Linked DNA regions of Rattus norvegicus. The protein of the gene in region 2 interacts with the protein of the main gene of each other region in a pairwise test. Links are inferred from orthologs where the notes say so. Each region holds a gene or a part of one and is shown on either strand. Other genes may lie near its edges.

Region 1 (3,967 bases), on a different chromosome or scaffold from region 2:
GTAAACTCTTGAGCACAAAGCCTTGTATTTTCCATCCCAGCAGTAGGAAAATTTGAAAATAATTTTAAATATTTTAATTAATAACAATTACAAGGAAATTCAAAAGCAAGAAAATACAAAAGGATATACCTCCAGTTCATTTTCCAGTTTCATTACTTTTGTCTTTAATTGATTTTCTATTAAAAAAAAACAACAACAAATGTTTCAATTGGTTAAATTTCCTGTAGTCAGACAGATGCTAAGTAAACTTCAATAAAATAGTACAATTCTCTGTAAAAGATTCCATCCTCTTATCAGATAATGTAAAGGAAAGTAATTATCATATACTAAATGCATAAACTATGCATTGTAGAAATGCCTCGATGTAGAGGGCAGAGGAAGACTTGAGTGCGTGAGGTCCTGAGTCAACGTGTACCTGCTGACACGGGCAAAGCCATGTCAGTAACTCAAAGTCTCAGGCCTATGGCAAATGGCAAAGCCTTCCCTCTGAGTCTGAGTGTGGATGTTGACAGAATCTGTAGAAAATATCCACCAGAGTTTGCTCCCTCTCATGGCTTTGACTCCGCTACAGAGACTACTCCTACTCAGATTAGCGAGCTCTGCCTCCCTGTTCAACTGTCTGCCAGCAATCCTGTCGCCTTGTTTATCTGTATGCCGTCACCTGACTTAATGTTCGGCCCTGCAACAACTCCACTACTCTGTTCAAGTGGATCGAATAAAGACACTGAGCTTCTGGGGTGTGGCAGCTTCTCCGTCAGTGAGCCCAGTGCGACCGAATCCAACTGTTCTGTGTGTCTGTGTTTTCTCTTCTTCAGCCCCTACCTCAGCACTCAGGTCAGTCCCTGGAACTGGGCAAGGATGTAGCCTCTTCCAATATGAATTGAATGCACACTTTATAGAATCTGATAAACTTCCAACCATCTAATAAATAGAACCACAGTAGTTTGGTTTTTTTTTTTGTCCTAGACGTTTACCAAATTTTGCTTGTTCTTCCCCAGCCTTTTCAACTTCTTCCAAGGCCAGCTCCACTTCTTGAGCTTTCATCTGAACATTAAAACAAGAGGGGGGGATCCGGGGTTATTTACGCTGCAATATAAACAGTGGAAATCGAAATGGTGTGAAATTCGCTATCTCAGTCTTTAGTGTGTGCAGTGACGGGCGCAGAGAGTCAGTCAGTAAGTAGTTGTTAACTAAATACTTAAGGCTAGAAATTCTAGAGGGGCAAGACTTTGAACCTGATTTTTCTGTTAAGTATATCCACTATTCTCAATGTTTTCATTATCTTTTTCTATCCCAATTGTTATTATTAATAAATGTATTAATCTCTTCTTATAATTGGAGCTAATCAGCTCTAATCCCTTCCATCTATACAATACATTTAATTTTCCTTCATAAGCATATTTCTATATTGGCCAACTATGATTCAAAAATCCTTTATTCGTTTCTAAAGTGCTAAGAGCCAAAATATGCCCTCAAATCCTTGGACAGTATACCCTAAACTACCAACCCAAAATCTGTTTAGACCCTACAAATTTTCTATGTGCTTTTACCTTAACGGAACGAATTAATACATATTCTTTCTCAGTATTTATTTATAAAGAATCTAGAATCCTGTCATTTCACAATTAGCTTTTAGGGGAAAGGTTTTGCATTTTATTTGACCCCCTGGTTATATTTCTTTATGTTACTCTTAAAAAAAGTTTCTTTTCCTACACACTCTTTCCCACAAACCTTCATTAGTGACTGAGTAATTCTGAACAGATGTATCATGTTTTCTTGATCTTCATTTTTTAGTTCATTTACTTCCACCTAAGGAAACAAACACACAAAATACATGGACTATTTCATACCCTGTGCATAAAATACAATCACTCTTCCGCTTATAGCGTTCAATTACTTGAAGAAGCAATTTCTATTCGTGACATTGTACCTCAGGATCTGTGTACAAATCATGTATTAAGTACCTTGGATAAGGATATCAATAATTTATCTGCCAACTCTTCTTGACGTGGCAGTTCATCTGGATCAACTTTGATTAATTCTTTCCATTTTATATTAGGTGGCATCTTGAATTCTTTCACTGCCTCTCAGTTCCTACAACAAAGCAGATGGATTTCAGCATTTTCAGGGAAGATGGCATTTGCAGTGTTTACATGATCATGATCGTTCTAACTTAACTCCCTAGGTGCTGGCTGAGAGCTATGGCTCCTGAACCGAAAAACAGATGCATAGGCAAACAGCCAAGATGAGAATTAGTTCACCTGTCACAGACTATACGATCATACACATGCTAAATTATTATTTCTTTGCTAAAACAAAATCGGAGCTAAAACCCCGAGTCCCCTTTTCCAAGTCCCTTATCATCAATGATGGTACCAACTCTCAAGATATTTGGAAGTTTTTGAATACCTCCTCCGATTCTGAGGACAGGGGACGAGAGGATTTTTAAAGTGGATAAATAAAGACTGAGCTAAATGAAGTGTGCGCGGAACCAAGCTCAAACACGGAGGCAGAGGCACTGCGGAAAAGAGCGATAGAAGGACTGGGTAGGTAGGCTGCACGCTGTCCCCCAGGATTATGAACCTGTGACCGACACTAAGCTGCTCCGGCTCACGAGAATCCACCCACCTAAACCAAGACGGGCAAAACAGCAGCAGTCACTCATCTACAGCGATCACGTCCGGGTTCGGCCACCGCCTGGGCCTCTCGCTTCCAATAGCTGTCCTCGCGCACTCAAGCTGCTCCCGCCAACTCTTCCCAAACAAGCCGAAGCGGCGCCGGCTGCTAGGCGACACCACTCCCCGCCCAGCCAGCCAAGGCCGGAACTAGGCCCCGGATACCAGGGAAGACTACATTTCACGACTGGGGGAAAAGCTTTACGGCTATGTTTCCCCCTCCAAGACCTTTTTTCACTGTGGATGAGGGAAAGCCGTGAGAAGAGGACTCTACGTCCCAGAGTGCAGTTCGGCGCTGCGGCTGTGCATACTGGGATTAGAAGTTTTGGGAAGAGCAGCGCGTTCCCGGCGTGCAATGCGAGAGGCTGCGGCCGCCCTGGAAGAGCTGGGGAAGGATCGGGAGGCGGGAGGAGCGGCTGCTAAGGTGCGGCCGCCCAGGAGCCGGAGCGTGGCGGACTATGACAGTGTTTTCTGCAGAGTCCTTCTCCGGTCCACCGTCTCCGAAGCTTTCCTGAACCATCTCTTGGCGGAGCCGCCCTCAGGTGAGGTCGGGGCGGGTCACTCAGCGGCCGGGAGGAGCTCAGGGAACATTTGCGTTTTAGGGAAGCTCTGTTTTGGGGCTGCTGGAGCGCCGGCGGATCTTACAGAGGTGAGAAAGTCTTCCAGCTACTCAGGTGTATGCTGGGGGCTCCCAGTTAGTGGCTTCCGTAAGAAGGGAGTGAATAAAAGTTTCCAGCTTCCCTAAGTGTCTGGGAAAGTGGAGCGCCCCCACCCCCACCCCCTGAGTTCATGCTCTGGTTGAGTGGAGGAGCATCAGGATGGACAGCCTCCTGCTGCAGCTTGCTTATTAGGTTAAGAAGTGTGAAGTGAAGGCCGAAGAAAGGGGAGGCTTAGTGCGTGACCAGCCCTGCTGGAGGGAGGAAGAAGGGCCATGCCAAGCTCTGGCATTTTGCTGTCATTTGCTGGGTACCAAGGGGGGTTCTTGGGTGAAAGCACCTTCTCGGATGTTTGCCTTCTTACTCTAGGAACTTTTTCCAATTCCACAGTCATTCTACACCAGCAGGTAACATTAGGAGCTGTAAACTTCTGTTTGAAACAGTGTGTCTCATATGTGCTTATGTATGTATAAATGGGTATATAGAGTAATTGTATGTATCATACATAATAGATAATAAGTAATTAAAAGAAAAATGTAGACAGTTAAAATTTGCTTTTGAAAAGATTTCTGTGGTTGTGAAAAACAAATAGCGCAAAAAAAAATGATATTTGAAACAAATTTTAAAGACATCATC
Region 2 (4,261 bases):
TCCAGTGGCAACTGGGGTCCTTGTCCGGGCACAAAGAGAAGAAGGGGGCAGTGGTGTGGGAGACCTCTTTAATATGACACTCAATCTGGGTGGAGGGGAGAGAGACCAGGAGCTGGGAAGGCAGACAAGTGGGTGAACTGTAGGACTGCACCTGACTCCAGGAAGAGTGATGGGCAGTGAGTGGGGACTGGTCCAGGCTGGTAGACCCACCAGGGGATCTGGAGGCCAGTACCTGAGATGGTGTCTAAGCCAAGTAGTATCTAGCCAGGCCAGAACATGGCCTAGAGAGGTAAGGGTGGGGCCTGGTTGGGGGCTCCCGGCACCTAGGGGCTGGCATCACCAGGGGCCTCCCCAAGCTGTTGCTGGAATTCCAGGCGTGTCTGCCGATTGGACTCCAGCAGCTCCTGGAGGCGGGCATGGAGGTGGTCGTTCTTCTCCTCCAGGTGGTCCAGACAAGAGTTGATCTGATCCAACATGGAGTTGATGGCAGCATACTCTGGGAGGAAGGGAAAAGATAGAGAGAAGGTCTTGTGTCTCCTTAGAGCTGACAGATACAGCTCAAAGCCTTCTGCTCCTCTCACCTGCCTTGTCCGATTCAGGCCCTTTGAATAGACCGGTGACCTGCCTAGAAGGCACTGGGTGGCACCCTTGTCATTCCCTCTGGGATGACCACCGCTTATTTCAATTTAGCTGTCACCAAGGGGAGGCTCCCTGGGTCCGGTACTACATCAGACTCTGTCCTGGTTCTCCAGCCTCCCCCTCTCCACAGCAACCCTTCAGAAATGACTGCTGTAGTGTGCTGGTCTGAGCTCACCCTCTGCTCACACTCAACTATCAAGCTCTAGGGGAGGTGACGGGTCTTGTGTTCTCTATCTCCCCAGTGCCCTCGATGACACAAATAAGCACTGAATGAATGAATGAGTGAATGCATGAATGAATGAAGCTCTGGCTTTCCAGTCCCTGCTTTTGCTTAACTGTCTACCATCTACTTCATCAGCCACAACAATCCTTCAAGGACCTACTCAAAATACCTCCTCCTCCATGTCTTCCCTCCTCTGAGAAGTCTTCCTGTCTCCGTCCTCTACAGCTTCTTTGACCTGCCTCTTAGCAATGTTGTGTCTCCTTAGGATCCAAGGTCTGGGTCCGTGCCCACTGCGGGACCCACTTCCGAGCCAGCCCATGACTCAGAAACACCCAGCTGCCAACTTGGGAACAAAGGGAAGGAGCTGGTGGTTTTAAGGAAGAGGCCAGGGAGGGCGACTGGAGCATGAGTGTGTATGTGCTGCCTCTCAGGGACAGTTCCCATGACCCACAGAGGGCATCCTTCACACAGCCTAGAGCCTCTCAAGCTGCTAGTCCATCTTCATTCCATCTGGTGACAGGGTCAAAACTCAGACCTAGGGTCAGAGACCCTTACATGAGTCCCAGGTCTGCTCTAGCCCAGCACTCCTTATTAGAGTGGGGTAGGGGACTCTGCAATTGCAGTACACTGAGAGCTCAGTCGGGGTCAGGCCACACCAAGCACTTAATGGGTAGCTAGCTGTTCCCATCCATCCTGGCAGGCCAGCAGAAGGGCTAGGAGAGGTGATGTCTGCAGGCTCCACCTACGTCCTGGGTACTTCCTAGCCCTTGCTCCAGTCCTGGGACAGCCTCTTCCCCACCCCAATGTCATTCAATTATGCCACCACCTCACCTAGTCCCCTCATGATGCTCACTGTGGCTGCCAGCAGTCACTATTGTCCAACAGTGCCCACTATGCCTCCAAATGGACGACAACCTCTATTAAGGGCAGAACCCAGGTGACAAAAATATTCTGAACCTGTTGTGACAAGGACTATGCTGTGAATATATGAAACTGCAGAACTGTACAGTTTAAATGGTACAATCTAGTGTGTTACCTACAGCTTAATAAAGTTTTTATAAGAAAACAAAAGCATACCCCATCCTTATTGCACAGTAATCAAGTCCTGCCCTCTAGGTAAGGCACCAGACTTGACAACACTCAAAACAAACAAACAAGAACCGGCTTTCAGAAGGAACTTGTACTCTGGAATCTTAGAAGCTAACCATTTCTATCCCATTTTCCCTTAAATTCTGACACACTTCAATACAGAAGACACCAATGTGCCCAATATTGCAGATGGGAAAACTGAGGTTCCCAAACGTGCAAAAGCTGTCTGTGGGCCGATGCGTCCCCTGAGGTCCTTGGGCAGTGTTGTGCACCCAAGCACAGTACTCAGTAAGGAGGTCACCAGCAAAGCCAGATGGCTGGGGTGCTGACTCAGCATAGTGGGGAGCCCACCCGGCCAACACCTGCAGAGCCATGCATGACCGCCCCCTCTTAGCGAGGAAAGTGGCTGAAGCAAATCCCAAACTGACAAGGTGCTCTGAAGCTGCCTCAGTTTCAGACACCAGGGTTGGTTAGCGACAGTTCTCCAGTACTGCAGCGCTCAGGGATCTGTTTGCTATTGCTCGCCATCGCCTCCGAGGTGGCTGTGGGGACAACTCCAGAGCCCAACTCCTCAGGCCCTCCCACGCCCCCCGTCCCCGCCCGATTCCAGATCTTAAGGCCAGTACTCCCCGCAGAGTAAAGGTCGCCTTAGCAACAACCCCTCTCCTCCCAGGTCACCTGCTTCCCCGAAGCTGTCATTCTCGCCTTCCGTGCCCGCATCCACCGGCATGCCTAGGTCCCCGTTGGGGCCCGACATTGCGGGCTCGGGCGCCGCAGAGGCCACGCGAAGATGGAACTCGGCGATCGTCGCGCGGAAAGCCGGCGCTGGGCGGAAGGTGCAAGCAGCTGATGGAACACCGGGCCGGAAGAGTGGAACGCAGCAGCGCACTCAGGCCGCCCTGAGCCCCGCCCAAAGCCCAGCCCCTAGGCCTCCGCGCTACCACGCCCTTTGAGCTCCGCCCCCTCCCTGCTTCGGCGCTCTATCACGCCCACAAACATGGCTCCGCCCCGTCCGCTCTCAGGCTCCTCCTTCTCTGGCTTCTGAGCCCCGCCCCTCTCCAGGCCGCAGTGACCCGCGGTCAGCGGAGCCCGAGGACGTACAGAAGGTCAGGCAGTAGAGACCTTAGCCCCCTAGAGCTTGGGATATGTACGAGACTCCATCCTGCTGCTTCCTTCTCTCTGCATGGTCGGAATCAGAACTTCTCCTCCCCAGTCACCAGGAATCTGCCATCTTCCCACCTCCCCCTGGTGCTGCCGAGATGACCCACAACCCCTGTCCTATCTTGGCCAATCTTGGCCTCATCTCTTCTCTTAGGGTTCTCAAAGGCTACACTTTCGGGTGAGATCAGATTCCATACCAGGACAGTAGACGTAAATAAAGCCAATCTGTTTGATTCACGCCAATAAATATGACATGGGTTGGGAAGGAGCGTGAAGGGTTGTGTGTCTGGTTCCCAGTACAGAAAAGACTTGGTGTGCTCTGTAGGTGCGCCTGGGGTCTGTGGAAGGTCTGTGTGCTAAGTATCCTTGCTTGTGGCAGTCCATCACGGAAGACTTCATGATAAAGACCTCCAGCATTCACGTTCCCCCATGCCATGCACACTGGGAAGGGAAAAGAGACCTACACGGGGCTGGAGAGATGGCTCAGAGGTTAAGAGCACTGTCTGCTCTTCCAGAGGCCCTGAGTTCAATTCCCAGCAACCCATTGTGGCTCACAACCATCTGTAATGAGATCTGGTTCTCTTCTGGCATGCAGGCGTACATGCAGGCAGAAAGCTGTATGACCTATACATAATAAATAAATAAATAAATATTTTTAAAAAAGAGAGAGGGGGCTGGGGATTTAGCTCAGTGGTAGAGCGCTTACCTAGGAAGCGCAAGGCCTTGGGTTCGGTCCCCAGCTCCGAAAAAAAAAAGAACCAAAAAAAAAAAAAAAGAGAGAGAGAGAGACCTACACAAAGTCAACATCCAGAACCACTTGTGGATGGGACCCAGAAGAGTAATCGGGATCCAGCTCAGGGTCAGGGTAGTGTCTCAGGAACACTCACTTACCAGGACTCCTAGAGCTGTAATGGCCAGGTGACACCCCCCCCCCCCCCCCCGTGGCATCATGTCACGGTGGCTATTCCAGAGTGCAGGCTGTTCTCAGCACAGAGGCTTCAGTAAAGCTGGGAGAGGAAGGGAAGTGGATTCTTCCTCAAACCCCAGAGGAAGCACAACCCCGTGGACACCAGGAAATTAATGCAAGGGTGGGCTTAGGAGCTAGAAGAGAGTGCATGCTAATTGTAGCAATGTGTTGCTACAATGCGG
Region 3 (3,533 bases), on a different chromosome or scaffold from region 2:
CACAGATTCCCTGAGGCTCACTGGTTGGCCAAATAGCCTATCTCTGGGTGAGATCCAAGCAAGTGAGAAGACACCTCCAACCTCCTCTCTTTTTCAGAACTCTGGGCTGAACCTACAGCTTTGTGCTTGCTAAGCAAGTGCTCTACCACTGAGCTAGACACCAACCACAAGAAGACCCTCTCCCCCCAACCCCAAAAAGGCTGTATAGCACCTCTGGCAGGCAACCCCATACTACACACATTTATGTATGTATACATACACAACAATCCGACGAAATAATCATGAACAAACCAAGACCTTTTGTGCAGCTTCCAAACTCTTTGGAGTGACCTGAACAAGGAACTTTATGAAGATCTATGTGCTTTATGGAGAAACCGGGCCATTGTTTTAAAGCTTCTCTACCTTCTGGGCTAGCCTGTTCTTTCAAACAGGCCAAGACCTATACTCCTATATTTCAAGGACACTTAGCTTTAATAAAAATAAAATGTCGAAACCCAAATAAAAACCTTACTTTCTTGTTTAATTTGTTTTGCCAAACACAGTGAAAACTTCAGTCTAATTGTACAGAAAATAGAATTTGTAACCAGTAGCAAACATAACGAGATAAACCTAAGTCCCTGGTCAGCTGGATCTCCATCAGCAAGTCACCCAGAGTCCTCTGATAAATGACCTTCTGGGTAGAGAGGTCCTAACAGGCAGAGGCGCAGATCAACTAGTCTCCATCAGAATCACAGGCTGCACCTGAAACGGGTAGCATGAAAAGGAGAAATGATGTTACTGAGATCTCTTATTACTACACACAGCAAAGCTGTCTTCAATTGCTGGCCAACCTTAAGATGTGGGCTTTCTCAAACCCACAGTCCCTAAGAGTCCCATTTGCACCCCTCCAGGGTAAGTTTCAAGTTCAATGGTTCTGAAGCCTTTGTATAACCAGAATCTGCAACATAAATTGGGGAGTGAGAGACAAAGTCATAACTGCTGGTGTCACCAGATTCTGAAGTCCCCAACTCCTACTTCAGGAGGAAACGAAAGAGGGTGCCAATTGACCAGCTTAAGTCCCACTGTCCTAAACCTCAGCACTGTCAACCAGAATATTGGGGAGTTCAACATCTGCCTGAGGATTCCTTGGGCTGGAAGGAGTCACGAATTCTGCAGGTTTCTGGGAGGAACCATTCACATTCCGTGCTTCTTACGGATGACAGCCATGGCAAGCAGGCGATCCTTCTCTCGAAGTTCTTCACGGAGCTTGGCCTCGGTAAGACGCAGATGGCGGATGCTACCCTTCATCTCTTTCATCTTCACTTCCATCAGGGCCAAGATGTCCCGCTGCTCATTCAGCTTGCGCAGGAGCTCCTCCTCCGTGGTACCGGACGACAAAGAGTATGAGTGGTCGGAGCCAGTATCAGGGAAGCCCTCTTCCCCTACTACCACCAGCTGAGGGCCCAGAGTGCACTCAGCGGCCTCCAGCCCAGCTGTAGCAGCCTCTAGCTCTGATGCGGCGGCAGCGGCGGCTGCCCCTTCAGCAGCTGCAAACTCTACTTGCACTGTAAGGTCGATGGGCTTCACATCATCTCCCGAGGAAGTAGTGGGCGCTGGAACCACGGTTCCAGGAGCCTGGCTGCTGTCTACGGCGGCCTGAAGAGTAAGAAGCACGGCCGCAGAGGCAGACACCAGATTCGGCTGCAACTGGGCAGTCTGGGCAGTGGAGGAGGACGGAGACTGCTGCTGCTGCTGTTGCTGCTGTTGCTGCTGCTGCTGCTGTTGTTGTTGTTGCTGCTGCTGCTGCTGCTGCCTACGGCGGGCTGCCGCAGCTCCCGCAGGTCTCCGAGCTACTTTGCGCTCATTGACGCCACGCAGCGGGAAAATGGTGGGAACGCGCACCGTGTAGGTCTTGCGGCCGCCCTGGAAGTGAACGCTGCAGAGACGGTGGCCCGTGGTGGGCTGGAAGGTGGAGAAGCACCCACTGACGCCAGCACGGGACACGTTCTTGAGCCAGAGGCGCCGCAGTTCAGCGTCCTTGGGAAACGTGTAGAAGTGCAGCGCCTTGTCTCGGTGTGAGTTGTTGTAGCAGCCCGGTACGCAGCACGTAAAGCCAGGCATGGCTGCGACGCGCGGCCCGGCCCACCGGCCTCTTGAGCTCTTCGACGGCCGGGTCTGGCCCCCACTTCAGCTCCTCGACGGGCGGTGCCGCGCGAGGCTCTTAGAGGTCTCTCACTATTGCCGCCCGGCGCAGTCCTCCCGAGCGGAGGCCCCGTGCCCAGAATATGCTTGCGGACCGCCCGCGCCGCGCTACCCACCCGGCAGCCCGCCTGCGCTTCGGAGTCGGCCCGGGGGACGCCGCGAAGGACCGCCTGGAAAGGAGGACTACGCCCCCCACAATGCACCGCGCCAGAAGCCGCTCACTTCCGGGATGGGGCGGGCTTATTCCGGCTGCTTTCCCGGGCACCGCGATATCCTGTTCAGAGTCGATTATTTTCCAGATAAAGCTCGTCCAAGGCGAAGGGGGGGAAGTGTATTCGAATGGAACGTTGTCGCACGGACTACCCCTCACAAGGACCCGGAATCCTGATGGTACGGGGCGCGTGCCTCGTGAGCGCAAGCGCTCTGTGTCTAACACACAAAGACTACAAGTTCCATGCTGCATCAGAAGAACGTTTTGGTGCGGCCGCGGACTGCAGCGCCGCCTAAAGGAGAGGTGGAGTTCCTGCAGGCCAGGATTTGAGTGAGGTTCTATAGCTTGCTCTAAAAATCCCCCCAAACTCCACAGTGCATTCATTAGCCTGGAGGAAGCCCAAGTCAGCCCAGAAGAACTTCTGGAGTCACTTTCTTATATTGGGAGCAGTCTCCCGACTCTCAACTACCTCTAACTTGGACTCACTGACCTAAACCAGGTCCCTACTAGCTGCTTACTATGTGCCAAACAGTGAAGGGGAAAACACGTTCAAGGTAATTTTGAGCAGTCAGGTCCTCCCCAGCGCTCTCTCTCCTGGAGACTAATTAGAGTGTCTTATGGATAAAAGATGAGTAAGCGCCAATAGATGTCTAATCAATAAAGGCCACAAAGGAATCAGCTGGACAAAGAAGACAATGACGAAGGGAGGCATGAGTAGATAGGCCAATAAGAAACTTGGAAGTGGACAGATACCTGCCGCCTCGCCTGGGAAACCTAAGTAGCTAGAGCTAGAAGTGACTTGATGGCACTTCAGAATCATCGGGCTGTTTCATGGAACTTCCACTGAAGCGGTACGGAAATGGAGACTGAAATGAAGACTCCAGCTGTGTTGATTGGATTTGAAGCCTCTTTGGTTCCTTTAAAAAAGCAATCCATAGGGGTTGGGGATTTAGCTCAGTGGTAGAGCACTTGCCTAGCAAGCGCAAGGCCCTGGGTTCGGTCCCCAGCTCCGAAAAAAAGAAAAAAAGAAAAAAAAAAAAAAAGAAAAAAAAAAAAAAAGAAAGCAATCCATAGTTTCTGGTTCCTGGCCTAAGCTTGATTCTATATGTTTGTCCTCCTCCCAGACTCCTTCAGATTTTGA

Evidence for each region. The genes of interacting proteins can lie anywhere in the genome.
Region 1: the proteins of Bbln (region 2) and Cep290 interact in binary tests that used the Homo sapiens proteins (3 or more experiments, as listed by UniProt). The two-hybrid records come from large-scale screens. The link is inferred for Rattus norvegicus from reciprocal best matches to the Homo sapiens genes BBLN and CEP290.
Region 3: the proteins of Bbln (region 2) and Thap11 interact in a two-hybrid assay, tested with the Homo sapiens proteins (2 studies listed by BioGRID and IntAct). The link is inferred for Rattus norvegicus from reciprocal best matches to the Homo sapiens genes BBLN and THAP11.

What each region holds. Positions count from the first base shown.
Region 1 is NC_086025.1:37,195,616-37,199,582, reverse strand, and holds the start of Cep290 (centrosomal protein of 290 kDa), read right to left. Parts: upstream 2,801-3,967; 5' UTR 2,629-2,800; intron 2,095-2,628; 5' UTR 2,067-2,094; coding exon 1,965-2,066; intron 1,810-1,964; coding exon 1,732-1,809; intron 1,045-1,731; coding exon 975-1,044; intron 177-974; coding exon 130-176; intron 1-129. UniProt on the Homo sapiens protein: Involved in early and late steps in cilia formation. Its association with CCP110 is required for inhibition of primary cilia formation by CCP110.
Region 2 is NC_086021.1:36,072,271-36,076,531, forward strand, and holds Bbln (bublin coiled-coil protein), read right to left. Parts: upstream 2,801-4,261; 5' UTR 2,709-2,800; coding exon 2,630-2,708; intron 497-2,629; coding exon 324-496; 3' UTR 55-323; downstream 1-54. UniProt on the Homo sapiens protein: Essential for intermediate filament organization in intestinal cells, interacts with intermediate filament and regulates intestinal lumen morphology.
Region 3 is NC_086037.1:50,655,624-50,659,156, reverse strand, and holds Thap11 (THAP domain-containing protein 11), read right to left. Parts: upstream 2,319-3,533; 5' UTR 2,101-2,318; coding exon 1,174-2,100; 3' UTR 501-1,173; downstream 1-500. UniProt on the Homo sapiens protein: Transcription factor, which has both transcriptional activation and repression activities. Also modulates chromatin accessibility.